2 linked regions of the Struthio camelus genome follow. The protein of the gene in region 1 interacts with the protein of each later gene in a biochemical or structural test. Links are inferred from orthologs where the notes say so. Each region holds a gene or a part of one and is shown in the gene's direction. Other genes may lie near its edges.

Region 1 (7,947 bases):
AGGGCAAATTCTGAGTGGAAAATTGCAGCCTTAACGTGAGGACTTATGACATTTAAATGAACATCTGCTCTTGAAAAACTGGAAGGTCAGGCAAGATGACACAGTAAAACGAATAAGGAGAACTGTTTTTGGAAGATCCTTTCTCTGTTATTGCTGGTCTCCACAAACAACAACATCAGATTATCAAAAACACATCCCACAGTGGAAAGAGAGCTAGAAAAGAAAATGTCCATTCTTCTCTCTTGAGGTTGCAATATCTTTTTGGGTTCTGGGGAGGAGGAAAGAGGGAAAAATAGCCCTATTTCCTGTGTTCAGACAACTTCCATAAGCTGTTTATATTCATCTTTATTTTTGCATTTATAGTTCTGTGTTTTGTCCCAAGAGGTAACCTGACACAGGTCTCTCCCGCTGCCTTTCTGCGTTCCCTTGCATGGTCACGTCCTGGAGAGAGTGCTCCTTCCCGCCATGCAAAGCCCCAGAGAAGCAAGGGGAGATACAGGTGGGAACCTCCAGCTAAGATGTTTTCTTTTAAACACTAGAACACAATGATGAATGGAAGAGAAAATAGTGGCTTAAAACAGTTAACACTTCGTACCAATTCCCTTCTGTATTTATGGTACTAAACCGTAGAGGCCTATTTCATACTTAGAATTCTGATTTCAAAGTACCAGGTTTGCAAGCCCACTCAGATAGAAATCCTTGATAAATATTTACTACCTTAAGGGCTTATCCATGGATACCAAAACATTTTCCCTATTATTTTCCCCAAATATTGGAAGAAGTGCTGCAGAAAACAAGTATGTCGCTTGTGAAATTTTACCTAGATAACTGCACATCTAATTCTGTGCAAGTAAGAAGTTGGATGTATGCATTTTACAGGTACATTTACATTTACATGTAAAACCAATCTTTGCTATGGATACAAAGGCAAGCCTAAACACTGATATCTATCTTCAGTAGAAGCGGCCTATTTTGGTTCTGCAGAAGCATTTACACCCCAGCTTAACTATTGGAAAAGGACAGTGTCGGGCTGGTATATTTGATTACTGACATGAAGTCTTTTCCAGTAAGTCACTAACCTGAGTCAGGTCAAGTTTGATAGAGGTTCCTGGTAACTTACGTTAAACAAATTAATTATCAGAACGGATAAAGCAATATTATTATCCACCTGCTGTCACCTGGCAAAATTTTTTAACATGATGTTGGAGGCAGCATGGCTATCCTTGCGTTTTCTAAGCAAACCACTTTGGAAATATCAACAGAGCAGTTGCTTTGTTTGGAGTAGATGTATTCCTGGAGAAAGGATGAGCCAAAGAATTTTAGTCATATTTACATTGCAACTTTTGTTGTGGCATTGACCGCAAGAAAACTGATCCCCAAATTCTAATGCAGAGAAAGCCTCAGAATATCAGCTGACACCTTATTTTATGCTCTTTGGGTGCAATTATCCTATTCTCTTTGTCACTATGGGATGAAATGCGCTGTCATATCTGATGTTTTGCATGTTAAAAAATTCAATGTCAATCTTTGTTTCTTCCTCTGCTCCCCCCATAAAATCAGGATGCCTTTCTAGAGGTGTTGTATGCATCTAGTATGTTCCTGCTTTTTGTCAGTCTCTTGGGATACTTTTTATTCATTTTCAAGCAGAGGGTTGCAGGATCTGTGTTCATTTTCATCAAGGAGCGAATTGTTCACCACAAGGAGCTACAGAAGAGGGAATGCTGAGCAGCAGAAAAGCTGGTTTTTTTTTTTAACTACGGTAAACCATGTCTGTGACACTGAATTCTCTGCTTATACATTTGTAAGTAGGACTATTATAAAATATTTATAGGTGTGGCATAAGGATTAGCTAATGAATGTCTCCAGTGTTCTCAACAAAGCGGTAAAGGTAGTATGTAATGCATATGCAACATAAGTTTTGTTCAGAAAGCTTTATAGTATGGCAAAACACATGATACTCATGACTATTATAATATATAGAACCATTGTCTACAGTTGAGATGTTTTCTTCTTTTTAGATTACCCTAAATACCAAAATATTTTAGGGAGGGGAAAATCCTGTCATGAACTCATGTTGTTCTAGATTTAAAAAACAACCAACCAGCCCAAATCCTGACATTCTTTATCTCTGCACTTTAAGTTCATAGAAAAGGAAAGAGGTGCATAAATGAGGAGCTGCTCAGGCTGGCAGCCTGTGGGCTAGAAGCGGTGGGTAGCACCCGCTCCTGCACCTCTGGGGTGAGAGATGGGGCCTGGCCTTTACTGGCAGTGGTAGTTGCTGGGACACAGGGAAGAGCAGCAGAGCATGAACTCCCCCGTGCTTATGCAAAGAGTTGCGCTAGTGCTCCCTCTCAGCCCTTTCCTGCTTTACAAGATATGTGGGAGCCATTACCTTGACCGCTGACAATAATACAGTTTAGTGCCCTTTTTTTGCTTTACTAAATGAGCAATATAAGCGTGCCCAATGAATCCTTCCCTAGTGGTGCACTTTGCAAGCCTAGGCGAGAGGGGGGAAGATCTTTTGTGCAAGGTAAAGATGTGTTTTTCCAAAAACTCAGAACTCACCCAAAAGAAAATTGATTTTCCTCTAGAAAATGGTGAGGCAATTGGTATGCTACAACTGGTGCTTACTGTGCTAGCTGAAAGAATTTGGTTGCTACCTTGCCTCCTTATTTAGTTTGCTTGCCTTGCAATGGAAAGGCCTGAAATCTGTTTGGGGACTGGCTTTCTTCAGGCTGTGTTTAGGACTGTGGAATCCACATCTCAAACACAAGCTTCTGTTACAACAGCATGTTTAACAGCAGCGGTACTGGAGAAAGGTATATTTACTTGGCAAAAGCTAAGCATATGCCAGATTTCAGTTTTCATCTCTCATTTACGGGGCAGTTTAAAACAGGGTAAGTTTTCCACTTTTCTCCTTTTTTTTTTTAAGTAGCTGTATCACTTTGACTCGACATTTATAATTTAACTTTAGAAAACATTGACTGCAAGACTTCTGTCTTAAAGATGAATGTTTCTGACCTACAGGCAACTTTCTTACCTAAAAGTAAGGTAAGTCCCTCACACAAGTGTCAGGGAGAACGCTCTGTGGGAGTAAATATGGCATCAAAATATCATTTCCATTTCCAGAGAGGAGACTGCTGTCTCTGCTCTAGGCTAAGTTGCTGTTTTCAGTGTTTCGTGATGCTAACAATGTTTTTGCTGCTTGGTAGCAAAGCACAGAAAAGACATCTGAATGGAAACCTTGAGAATATACAGCCCTCCATTCGTAGGGGTCCATATCAAAAGATTTTGTGTGTGTGTGTGTGTGTAATATCCCTGTAAGTTCTTATCCTTTGAAAGTTATAAGCTGTGTGATAAAAACAGGAATGTAACAAAACACAGCTAACTTCCTTATAAAAGTTAACCACACTAAAAATAGTTCTGGTAGTGACCTCAGGGTGTGTGCGTCAAGCAATGATAGTGGCTGCATCTTCACAGTGGAAAAACGGGCTGCTGAGGTCGAGGAAGATTAGAGTACATTCCTGTGGAGAGCTTGCTAGGTACATTCAGGATTTTTGTCAGCTTCACCAGCTAAAATGGGTGTGTTCCTGCAACTGTCTTATTTTAAAATAGCTGGGATGCTGGAACAGTCCCCAAAAGAGTTTGCCTGCCTGCTTTCATTGTGTGTAACACCCTCAGACAGCAGATCCAGCTTACTGTACTGCTTCTACATGTTGCAAAACTAGAAAATTCCAACTACAATATGATCAATATCTTCATGCTTCTATTGAAGCGGTGATAAATTGCAATCCTAGCTTTTGCTTTACTTCTTATGCCCTTTTCTAAGTTGCGTTGCTTTGCTCTTTGCAAACTAGTGAATCACCAGAAACTAATGCCACCTGTGCGTGGTTTTCATTTTCCAGGTGATGATCCTGTAAAATCAATTTTACGGGAAGACTCTATGACTTTCTCGTATTCATAGGCGGGAAATGGCATTTCCTGAGAGCGTGGATGCAGGTGACCATGCTCGGTGCATGGTTTGACGGAGGTGATGGATCGATTCTGGACTTGTGCCAGCCACCAGGAGATGTCCTGCTGGCATAGACACCTCCCTTGGTTTGCTGGACTGCAATTACAAAGCAAACTCTGTGGTAAATGGCAGCGTGATAGAATTTGAGCAGATACTGCTTTTGTTCTTGCGAGGGAGGGAAACTTCATCAGAAATGCCCATGAAATTCCAGTCTTATCTTCGGGAATGCTTGTGGAATTCAGACGAGTAGTAAGAAAACGTCCTGGGCACCTTTTCAGGCTTTCTACTAGCGTCACTCAGTGCAAAGGATAGTTTCTCTTGCTTTAGCTTAATTTTAAAGTTCTTAAAACTCGGCTAGGATTTTAAATGAGTATTGCATGGTGTGCTTATGATGTTGCTTCCTTTGTTTGCCTATCACCATATAGCCTCGCCAGCTCCATAAGAAACCTGTCTGTGAAGTGTATTTTAATATTTAGATCTAACAGTGATTAGAATATACTAATGCCCAATGGGTATATGTGTCATTTTTTAGCAGCTGCCGAGCTTTCTCCCTGCTGCTCCAATTAACACATTCAGCACACACTTGTCGGTGAGTGGGCTGTGTGTATGGGTTAAACCACTTTGCTATTTATTCATGCAGCACATGTGATGCCAAAAATGGATTAGCGAGTTTCCTGTTCTTAGAACAAACGAACTCAAACGAGGTCCTGAGCTTGTGCCCGTTTAAATGCTAGGATAGGATTTAACTGGCAATCGGAAACCTATTTTGCCTCGAGATGTGGTTCAGTCCATTGACTAACATGAATCCCCGCCTCCCAGCCCTCTTCAAATGATGGAGACATAGGATAGGGAGATTTCAGTGCTGGGTTTCCTCTTGCTGGCAGGCAGGCAGATCTCTTCAACTTTCTTCTATTTTGTTTAATAACTGCTTGAGATGTAGAGATTCACTTCTCACTACAATATTTTCCTCCTTTATCTATTTTCATGTTGAAATATTCCAGCTAGTAGATTTGATAAAGCCCCCCCCATCCTTTTTAAAGGGAAAAAGAATATGCTTTCTATTCATAGCTGAGATAAGGAAGGGTTTTTTTTTTTTTTCATGGTGCCGGAGTGGCTGGTCAAAAGGTGTAGCTCTGCCTGCGTGTTTGCTGTTAATTTGTGCTCGGACAGCTGTCTGTGAAGCCAAGGGCGAAGGGGCTGCGAGTTGGTGCCGCTGCCGAGGAGATGGAGCGCTTCTTGGGCTTTGTCAAGCAGATAAGAAGATCGAGAAGAAGAAAAGGCAAAAAGTACCGGCCAGAGGAGGATTACCATGAGGGTTATGAGGATGTTTATTATTATGCCTCGGAGCATTTTCGAAGTAAGTATTTTGCATAACCTCATTTACCTTTGGCTGTGAGAAATATTATGCTTTTAGGATTATTAAAAAAAAAAAAAAAAAAAAAGAACGGCAAACCCAAACAGTATTTCTCACACGGTGGCATCTGAGCCTGGTGCAAGTATTAAAACATTACCTTCCCATTGTAGATTTATCTGTCTGTGACTGCCAGCAAGGAATAAAAAACAGTTGAAGTGGCACAGTCGCTCTCTCAAAGTAAGCGCGGTCTGTAGACCTGTTTAATATTTCAGGTGCAGTTAACTGAGTCTTACTGTTGCAAACCCTTTGGTAAAATCCTTTGTTTTGAAAACGGGTGCAATGGGCCCTTGTCGAATGCCTTCGTAAAGCCGCGCTGTGGATATTTCTAAAGCAATAGAAAGGCAGTGATCGCTCATTCATAAGTTCAAGTTGACAATTGCTGTTGGTTGCTGAGTGCGAGTCGGTCCCTTGAGCCCACGCTGTGACCGGCTCTTTTCAGCAGAAGGTAACTCAAGTGGGCTGCTTTGTCGCTGCACGTTCAGGATCACTTATACAGAATTAAGTAGCTGTTTTTGTTTGTTTGCAGTCAGATGACTGCAGCAGTTTGCTATAAACCTAAATAAACTGCCTGTTCTTAAGTCCCCTTGCAAAATGTGTATGGTAAATTGCAGCACACTAAGATTTATTCCCTGTACCTGTCAGGCTTATGAGCGCATGGTCAGCCTTTGACTTCTCCCCATGGGTTGGAAATGCCCAGAAATGCCTGCAGGGACAATGTGAGGGAAGCTACACTCAGATGTTGCTGAGTTTATTATGCAGCTTTGTCAGTGCAAGGTAGCGACAGTAGAATCAGTCATGCACAAAAATTATCTTTTTAAAAGGTTTCTGCTGTTGTGACCAGTGATTTGGGAGCTTTGCCTTTTGTTCAGCAGCTGAAGTTTGATGTACTTTTTGTTGTATGTACCATTGGCTGTCAGTTTCTTTTTGTATCATTGGGCTTCACTTCCATTTTGCTGAAATAAATCATGAAAACATTACATTTGTTCTAAGACAATAAATGTGATTGTGCTTTAGAGCAACAGAGTACTGCCATTATGTGGAAAATTATGAAGCAAGAGATTTTCTTTTGGTTTTCTCCAAGTGCACCATGCTTGCCTTATCTCCAGAAGTAAACTAATATAGAGAGTTTGGTTGTTTACGGGGACTCTCCACAATAAAATCCTTGCTGTTTTCTGTTTTTAAGAAAATTTACAATGCTGATCATCTTAGAATTTATCAATGCTATTCAGACTGAGATCCCTTAAGAAAAGGTCTATTCTGGGGAGCGATACTGTTTTAGCAGATTATGTATTACCATGGAATATGCTATTACAAGAACTGAAAAATTTAAATCTACTTAGCACTGAAGAATGTGAAAATGTTTCAAGTTAATGGAAGAACGCAACTTCTTTTGCTTTAGTACGCAAATCAAATGAATATGTCAAAACAGTCTGTCAGAATATTTCACTAGCTGATTGTTCTTGAAGGTCTTTTAAATAAGAAAGCAAAAACCCTCCAAAACCTGTCATATGTAATAAGGATTTCTTGAATGTTGATTAATAAATTATTGCTCTTGACTTAATGTGAGGGACTAAGATGGAGCCAAATGTCTAATATTTGTTTTAATTTTTATTTTACTCATAAAATAAAAGAATATTTTTTCTCTCACATTTGAGCCTGTGGAGATTCTGAGTATTTTAGAGTGGAAGAATCTGTGTCAAATTTTGTAACTGACCTTGAATGTTGCTTATATTAGTGATCATAGTCCCCAGACTAAATAATCCAAATAACGTCCAGCCCTATAGAGTTGGACACAAGTAGTTTGCAACTTCTGGCAGTTACTTAAATGTGTCACAGGAGATTGAGCCCTAGAGATTTATTTGTTCATCAATCATCAGGAAGAGAAGAGGCTTTTATAGAGCTACCACATCAAATACAATGGCTCCTCAAATGCCTTTTCTGCCTGTGCTGTGTGTGGCGCTGTTTTGGTTGGATAGGGGCAGTACCTACTTAAATTGATGTACGCAATGTCAAGAGATGTTGCTGGTGCTCCTGTAAATGCTATCGTTAAGCTGCGTTTCATGTAGTTGGAACAATGAAGCGATTCGTGTTTAATTTAACGATGATCTGGCATTATGCTGCTTACAGTTCAAATTTAGAGTAATCGCAGACTTTCTAAAAGCTATTCCTTTTGCATTCATGTGTTTAGAAGTGTGCATGCTTGAGAATAGGATCCACTTTATTGGTATGATTTTCAGAATATCAGAACTAATGAAATCAGAGACTTGTTCACTCAGCTGAACAGAACAGGAGCTTTTTTTTTTTTTAGGATGTTTCCTTTCCCTATAGTGTTGTCCATCCCTCCTCAAGGGTCGTCTTGTATGAGTTACATATCCAGTTAGCTACTGCATTTGAAGATTGTCTGAGCCAATCACTTTATGGGCTTGTTATTCTCTCTTCCCCCCTTTTATAATATTGCCTAGAACGGAGACAGAATTAATGTCAGTATAGAAGCTACATTAGAACAATCAGAGGATCAAAC
Region 2 (7,997 bases), on another chromosome or scaffold:
GCGGCGGCGTGCCTCGCTCCTCGGCGCTGCCCGGGGGTCTTTGCGCGGGGCGGGGAGCCGCCGGCACGGCACGGCACGGCTCCCTCCGCGGCGCGGGGCCTTGCACGCGCGCGTGCATCCTTGCACGGACACCTGCCGGGGGCACGGCCGGAGCCCCCTGGGCCGGCGCGGGCGACTGCGCGGCGCGCCGGCGCTGCAGCCCGGTGCCGAGTGGTCCCCGCGCCGGCGAGGGCCAGGGGTGCTTGGCACCCCCGCCGCGGCCACCCCCGCTGCGCCGTGGGGCAGGGCCGGACTCACGCCAAGGGCGGCGCGAGCCCCGGCGGCCGGCGGGCGCCCCCCTGCCGCCCCCGGCGGGCGTCCCCCTGCGCGCGGGGTGCTGCGGGGCCGCGGGCGCCCGGCCCCGGCCCTTCCGGGGGGGCGCAGCACCAGGAAGCGGCCCCCTCCCCGCTCCGCCACGCACTTTCCCGCGGCTGCCGGGAAAGCCTGGAGCAGGCGCGCGCCAGCCGGGACGGGACGGGAGGGGACGGGGCGGCCGCGGGGGCCCAGCCCCGGCCCCGCGGGACCCCCGGCTGCCGTGGGGCGCGGGGTGTGTTGTTTAATGCCTTAAATGCGGGGGGGGGGGGGGGGCGGGGCCAGGACGCCTGGGTCCTCTTCCAGGCGCTGGAGGAGGAGGAGGAGGAGGAGGAGGGTGTTGCGATGAGGGCGAAGGCGGGCGCAGGCAGGACGCCGGGGTGCCGGCCCGGCCGTGCCGAGCGGCGTCGGCAGCCGTCGAGGGAGCCGGGGGCTCCCGTCGGGCACGCGCCCGCCCGCCCCGGCCGGCCAGAGTTCGGGGGTCGGGGCGGGCGCCCGGCCGGGGCACCCGGCGGCCACGCGGGCACCCAGGCGTCCCGGCCGGCCGCGAGCCGGAGCCCCCGCTCCTTCCCCGATTTAGCAACGCCGCGCTCGCCCTGCCAAGCCCCCCTCCCCCAGCGCGCTCAGAATAGCTGCCTGGCGCCCTGCGTGCGCTCGCCGCCCCGCGCGGCCCCGGCCCGGCCCCCCCGGGGGCACCCCGGGGGCTCGGCACCCGCGGGCGCGCCGGCCGCCGCCGCTGAGCCCGCCGCCGCTCGTCACGCGTCAGGCGCCCCGCGGCCGAGCCCGGGGGCGCCGCCGCGCTGGTGCTGCGTGCCGCGGGGCGGCGCGGGCCGGGGGCGCCCGCGGTGGGCACGGGCGTCCGGCGGGGGGGCCCGGCCGCATCCTGCCGCGCCGGCGTGCGAGGGGGCGGCGCGGCACAGCGCGGCAGCTCCCGCGCCCGCCCGCCCGCCTGCCGCGCTTCCCCTCGGCGCCCCGGCGGCACGGGGAAACCGAGGCCGATGCGAAAGCGCTCGGGCTGCGCTCGGGCGGGATTCGGAGCCGGGCGTCCAGCCGGAGCTGCCGCTGCGGCTCGGTCCCGCCGCGGTTCGCGGTAGGATGGGCGCCCCCGGCCGCGGCGTTCGGGGTGCCCCGGGGTCGCCCTGGCCCTGATGTCAGGCGCATGGCATCCCCCGGCGCGCGGCTGCCCAGCTGCCGCCGCATGCCTGGGATTCCTGCGGCCTTGAGTCACGCGCAGCCGCGCGGCCCCGCTGCCACGGGCGCCCCGGTGCCGGCCGGGCACCGCCGGGCACGGGCATCGCGCTGGGAAGCACGCGCAGCGCCGGGTGCGTGCGCTGTGCCGGCACGTGCACACAGTGTCGGGCACCGCCGGGTGCGTTGCTCCGCAGCAGGACGCACGGATAGCGCTGGGCTCTGCCGGGTGCGTTGCACCATGCCGGGATGCACGACAGTGGTGGGCTGTGCCGGGTGCGTTGCACCGCAGCAGGACGCACGGATAGCGCCGGGCTGTGCCGGGTGCGTTGCACCATGCCGGGATGCACGACAGTGGTGGGCTGTGCCGGGTGCGTTGCACCGCAGCAGGACGCACGGATAGCGCCGGGCTGTGCCGGGTGCGTTGCTCCGCAGCAGGACGCACGGATAGCGCTGGGCTCTGCCGGGTGCGTTGCACCATGCCGGGATGCACGACAGTGGTGGGCTGTGCCGGGTGCGTTGCACCGCAGCAGGACGCACGAATAGCGCCGGGCTGTGCTGGGTGCGTTGCACCGCAGCAGGACACACGGATAGCGCCGGGCTGTGCCGGGTGCGTTGCACCGCAGCAGGACGCACGGATAGTGCCGGGCTGTGCCGGGTGCGTTGCACCGCAGCAGGACGCACGAATAGCGCCGGGCTGTGCCGGGTGCGTTGCACCGCAGCAGGATGCACGGATAGTGCCGGGCTGTGCCGGGTGCGTTGCACCGCAGCAGGACACACGGATAGCGCCGGGCTGTGCCGGGTGCGTTGCACCGCAGCAGGACACACGGATAGCGCCGGGCTGTGCCGGGTGCGTTGCACCGCAGCAGGATGCACGGATAGTGCCGGGCTGTGCCGGGTGCGTTGCACCGCAGCAGGACACACGGATAGCGCCGGGCTGTGCCGGGTGCGTTGCACCGCAGCAGGACACACGGATAGCGCCGGGCTGTGCCGGGTGCGTTGCACCGCAGCAGGACGCACGGATAGCGTCGGGCTGTGCTGGGTGCGTTGCACCGCAGCAGGACGCACGGATAGTGCCGGGCTGTGCTGGGTGCGTTGCACCGCAGCAGGACGCACGGATAGCGCCGGGCTCTGCCGGGTGCGTTGCACCACGCCGGGATGTACGACAGTGGTGGGCTGTGCCGGGTGCATTGCACCGCAGCAGGATGCACGGATAGCGCCGGGCTGTGCTGGGTGCGTTGCACCGCGCCGGGACACACGTGTTGCACGGGCCGCATGGGGCACCCGCTGCACCGCACGGGGACGCAGGCGCGGGGAGCGGGCCGTGCAGGGCGCAGGCGGTGCATTTTGGTGGGCCAGGCGCCGCCGCGGATGCCCCTCGTCCGTCCCCGCCGGGCTCCCGCGGCCCTTTCGTCGCCGCTGCGGGTCGCAGCCGGAGCCGCTGCTGCAGAGCGGCGGTGGCGGTGCCCGTGCCGGTGCCCGGGCGGGCGGCGGGGGCCCGGCCGCGGCGCCCTGCCCCCAGCCCCGCGCTAATCGCGCTAATTGGCACCTTGGCTAAAGCGCTTAGGCCCTCACCTCCGTGACCCAGATAGCAGCTGGGCCGGGGGGAGGGGGCGCCCGGACGCCTGGGACCCCGGCGCCCATCTGGCCGGGGCGCCGCGGGGCCGGGCACGGGTGCCGGCGCGGCCCGGCCGTGCCCCCCGCGTGCCGCGGCTCCCGCCGCCGGCCCAGCCCTGGACTTTGCCCCCGGGTTGTTTTCCAGCTCCTGCAAGCGCCCGACTCAGCAGAAACCCCGGCGGGGCGCGGGCCGGGCGGTGGGCGCGGGCCGGGGTCCTGCGGGCGCTGCGCCGGGTCCCCGCGCTCCCGCCCTGGGCCAGCCGGTCCCGGCAGCGACGCCGGCCGCGCGGGAGCACCCGGCCCGGGGGCTCGGGGCGCCCGGCATCACCGCGCGCACTGCCGCCGGCCTCAGCCCGGGCAGCGCCGCGGGGGGCTGAGACCTGACGGCGCTCGTTACACGTGGCCCGTTCTGCTGCCCGCAGGCAGCGGGAGACGGTGCCGGTGGCACGGGGCCCGCGGCGCACCGAGGAGGAAGAGGAGGAGGAGGAGAGCCGCCTCCCCGTGTCCGTCTGCCGCGGCCGCCCCGCGCCGGCGGGATTCCTCGAGCGCCGCAGCCCGCCCGCCGCCGCCGCTTCCTGCGGGCACCGCGGCACACGGCCCCGCGGCCCTCGGCACCCGGAGCTCGCCGGCCGCCGCCGCAGCCGCCCTGAGCCCAGGCTTTACCCCCCTCACCCCGCGGCGCCGCACCTTCCCGGGCATCTGCCAGCGCCACGCGTGTGCCGAGCGGGTCAGGGCTCTGCTGGCCGGGTCCCCGCAGCAGGGACGGGGCCGCCCCGGACTCCTGGGCCCCGGGGGCCGGCCGGGGGGGCCGGGTGCCCGCGGGGCGGCGGGCCCGCGCGCAGCCCTGGCACCCAGCCAGTGCCTATACTTGGAAGTCTCCGCGCGGCGTTCCCATATGGAACAAACATTTGCTGCAGCCCCCGGCCGCCGCGCCGCGCTGGCTCTATAGGTACCGCCCGCGGCCGGCCCCAAAGCCCGGCCTGGAGTGCCGTGCGTGGGGCGCTGTGCCCCCCCCCCAGCCCCAACCCGGGGCGGGAGCTGGGCAGGGGACCCAGGCGTCCGGGGCCGCCGGCGGGCGGGCATGCACGCAGGCGCGTGGCGTGCCGCGGGGCGATGCAGCATGCCTCGTGCGAGAGCCTCGTGCGAGAGCCTCGTGCGACGCATGGGGAGGGTCGCGCCGGCCGCGAGCCCCGGCCGGGGGCAGGCGCAGGGGAGCCCGGCGCCGTCCGGGCCCGCGGCAGCTCCCCGGTGCCGGCGCAGCGGTGCCCCGGCGCGGCCCGGCCGCAGCCGCGCTTTAAATCCGCCGGAGGAATTTCTGCCGCGGCCAAGACAAACGTGACCTACTTTCTGCCTGTCCCCGCTCGGAGCCGGAGGAGCCCGCGGGCCGGGCACGGCGCCTGCCCGGCCCCCCGCCGCCGCCCCGGTGCTGGGGGGGACGCAGCCGTGCACCGCGTGCGGGGGGGGGGGCCGGGGCGGCGCGGGGGGCCCCCGCCACCTGCCTCAGTTTCCCCCATCGCGGAGGGGTTTGGGGGGGGGGGGTCGGGCGGCGCTGCCCCCGCCCCGGCCCCCACCGCCGCCACGTCTCTGCCGCAGGAGAGCTCGCCCAGGAGGGATCGCCGGCCCCCGCCGCCGTAAGTCTCCCCCGCCCGGTGCCGGGGCCACGCATGAGCCGAGCGCGTCGGGGCTCAGCCCGGCCCGCTCGCGCCTGGCCCCCCCCCCCCCCCAACCCCGCAACCCGCGCACGGGGCGCGCTGAGGCCTCGCGCAGCTCGGTGCAGGCCTGAGCGGGCGCCGGCGGGCTCCCTCCGCAGGCTGGGCCGCGGGATGCTGCGCGGAGCTGAGCACTGAGGCGGGCGCCATGGGGCGCGCGTCGTAGCCGCCCGCCGCGGCCCCCCCGCGCCCAGCGCCGGTGGCGGAGCCCCCTCGGACGGTGCTGAGCGCTCCTTGATGGAATTGCGGTGAATGGAACAGAAGCCCAGCACCCTGGACCCGCTGTCGGAGCCAGAGGACACCCGGTGAGGCCCCCCCCGGCCCCCCGCCGCGCCGCCGGCTGCCCCTCTGCTGCGGCAGCCGGGAGCCCCGGGCGAGCCCCCCCGTGCCCCGCGCGTGTCCGCCCCGGTGCATCCCCGTGCCCTGTGCACACCCGTGCGCGCCTGCAGCCCGTGCACACCCGTGTCCCGTGCACACCCGTGCCCCATGCGCGCCTGCAGCCCATGCACACCCGTGCCCCATGCGCGCCTGCAGCCCGTGCACACCCGTGTCCCGTGCACACCCGTGCCCCATGCGCGCCTGCAGCCCGTGCACACCCGTTCTCTGTGCACACCCACGCCCCGTGCCCGCCCGCAGCCCGTGCACACCTGCACCCCGTGCGTGCCTGCAGCCCGTGCACACCCGTGCCCCATGCGCGCCTGTGCCCCATGCGCGCCTGCAGCCCGTGCACACCCGTGCTCTGTGCACACCTGCGCCCCGTGCGTGCCTGCAGCCCATGCACACCCGTGCCCCATGCGCGCCTGTGCCCCATGCGCGCCTGCAGCCCCTGCACACCCGTGCTCTGTGCACACCTGCGCCCCGTGCGTGCCTGCAGCCCGTGCACACCCGCAGCCCGTGCACACCCGTGCCCTGTGCGCACCCGTGCTCCATGCACGCCTGCAAGCCGCGCCTGTGCCTTGCATGCTCGTAGCCCATGTCCTCCGCATGCCCCGTGCACGCCCAAAGCCCGCACGAGCCCCTGCCCCGCGCGTGTCCCACGCACACTTGCAGCCTGGGCACGCCTGCAGCCAATGCAAACCTGTGCCCCAGGCGTGCCCGTGCTCTGTGTATGCCCTGTGCGTGCCCAAAGGCCATGCACGGCCGTGCTCCACGTGTGCGTGCCCCAGGCGTGTGTGCCCCGTGCATGCCCAACGCCCATGCGTGTGCATGTTGTGTGTGTGTCCCATGCATGTCCAACACGATGTGTGTGCGTGCTGTGTGCGTACCCTGTCCATGCCCATGCGCTGTGCGTGCCCAGCACCCATGCATGTGCGTGCCCCATGCGTGCCCAACGCCCATGCATGTGCATGCCCAACACCCATGCGTGTGCGTTCCCTGTGCACGCTCATGCCCCGCACCCATCCAGCACCCATGCGTGTGCGTGCCCTGTGCATGCCCAGTGCCCATGTGTGTGTGTGCCCCATGCATATGCATGTCATGTGTGTGCCCCAAGCATGCCTGTCCCCTGTGCACACCCAGTGCCCATGCATGTGCGTGCCCCATGCACGCCCAGCACCAATGCATGCCCATGCCCCAAGCGTGTGTGCTGTGTGCATGCCCCATGCATGCCTGTGCCCCATGCGTGTGCGTGCTGTGTGCGTGCCCCCTGCATACCGATGCGCCATGCATGTGTGTGCCCCATACGTGTGTGCTGTATGCATGCGCTGTGCATCCCCGTACATGTGCATGCCGTGTGTGTGCCCCATGCGTGTGCGTGCGCTGTGCATGCCCGTGCCCCGTGCGTGTGCATGCCGTGTGCGTGCGCTGTGCATGCCCGTGCCCCGTGCGTGTGCATGCCGTGTGCGTGCCCCATGCGTGTGCGTGCGCTGTGCATGCCTGTGCCCCGTGCATGTGCATGCCGTGTGCGTGCCCCATGCGTGTGTGTGCGCTGTGCATGCCCGTGCCCCATGCGTGTGCGGGCGCTGTGCATGCCTGTGCCCCGTGCATGTGCATGCCGTGTGCGTGCCCCATGCGTGTGTGTGCGCTGTGCATGCCCGTGCCCCATGCGTGTGCGTGCGCTGTGCATGCCCGTGCCCCGTGCGTGTGCATGCCGTGTGCGTGCCCCATGCGTGTGCGTGCGCTGTGCATGCCCGTGCCCCGTGCGTGTGCATGCCGTGTGCGTGCCCCATGCGTGTGCGTGCGCTGTGCATGCCCGTGCCCCGTGCGTGTGCATGCCGTGTGCGTGCCCCATGCGTGTGCGTGCGCTGTGCATGCCCGTGCCCCGTGCGTGTGCATGCCGTGTGCGCGCCCAAGCTCCCTGCAGCCGTGCCTGCGGAGGGGGAGGGCCACGGGCAGGGCCCAGGCGTCCGGGGGCCCCGCCAGCGCCGGGGCTATTTCGGGAGCGCTGCCCAGAGACGCACGTGCCCGGGGGGCCCGGCCGGGGTCACCTTGGGCGCCCGCCGCCCCCCGGACGCCTGGGCCCCCCGGGCGGGGGGCGATGCCCCAGCCCCGCCCGGCCGGGCCCGGCGCGGCAGCCAATGGGCTGGTGGCGTGCGGATGAGGCGCGGACCCCCGCCCGCGCCCATTGGCCGAGCCCCCGTGATGTCACTTCCCCGCTGAGCCAAAAGGACATTTTGTCTTTGACTGTAAATGAGCCCCTCCCCCACCGCCTTCCCGTCCCCTCCCCCACCACCCCTCCCCCGCACCGCCCCTCCCCCACTCACTTCCCCTCCCCTCCCCCACCCCTCGCCCATCCCCCCCGGATGCCGTGGCCCGGCCGGCCCACGCGTGTCCCCCTGCACACGTGCCACCAGCCCCGGGCCGGGGGCTGGCACACGCGTGCCCACATGGGCACACGCGGGGTGAGGGGTGCCCCTGTCACAGCGGCTGGCCGGACACGGGTCGCGGGGTGCACGGGGACACGGGATGCAGGGGCCTGGTTGCACGGGGACACGGGGTGCACAGGGACACGGGATGCAGGGACCTGGTTGCACGGGGACACGGGGTGCACGGGGACACGGGGTGCACAGGGACACGGGATGCAGGGGCCTGGTTGCACGGGGACACGGGGACACGGGATGCAGGGGCCTGGTTGCACGGGGACACGGGGACACGGGATGCAGGGGCCTGGTTGCACGGGGACACGGGGTGCAC

Evidence for each region.
Region 2: the proteins of GRIP1 (region 1) and THRA form a complex in vitro, tested with the Homo sapiens proteins (2 studies listed by BioGRID). The link is inferred for Struthio camelus from reciprocal best matches to the Homo sapiens genes GRIP1 and THRA.

Annotation. Positions count from the first base shown.
Region 1 is NC_090942.1:39,757,823-39,765,769, reverse strand, and holds the start of GRIP1 (glutamate receptor-interacting protein 1), read left to right. Parts: upstream 1-4,888; 5' UTR 4,889-5,236; coding exon 5,237-5,369; intron 5,370-7,947. UniProt on the Homo sapiens protein: May play a role as a localized scaffold for the assembly of a multiprotein signaling complex and as mediator of the trafficking of its binding partners at specific subcellular location in neurons.
Region 2 is NC_090966.1:6,798,708-6,806,704, forward strand, and holds the start of THRA (thyroid hormone receptor alpha), read left to right. Parts: upstream 1-4,966; 5' UTR 4,967-5,117; coding exon 5,118-5,170; intron 5,171-7,997.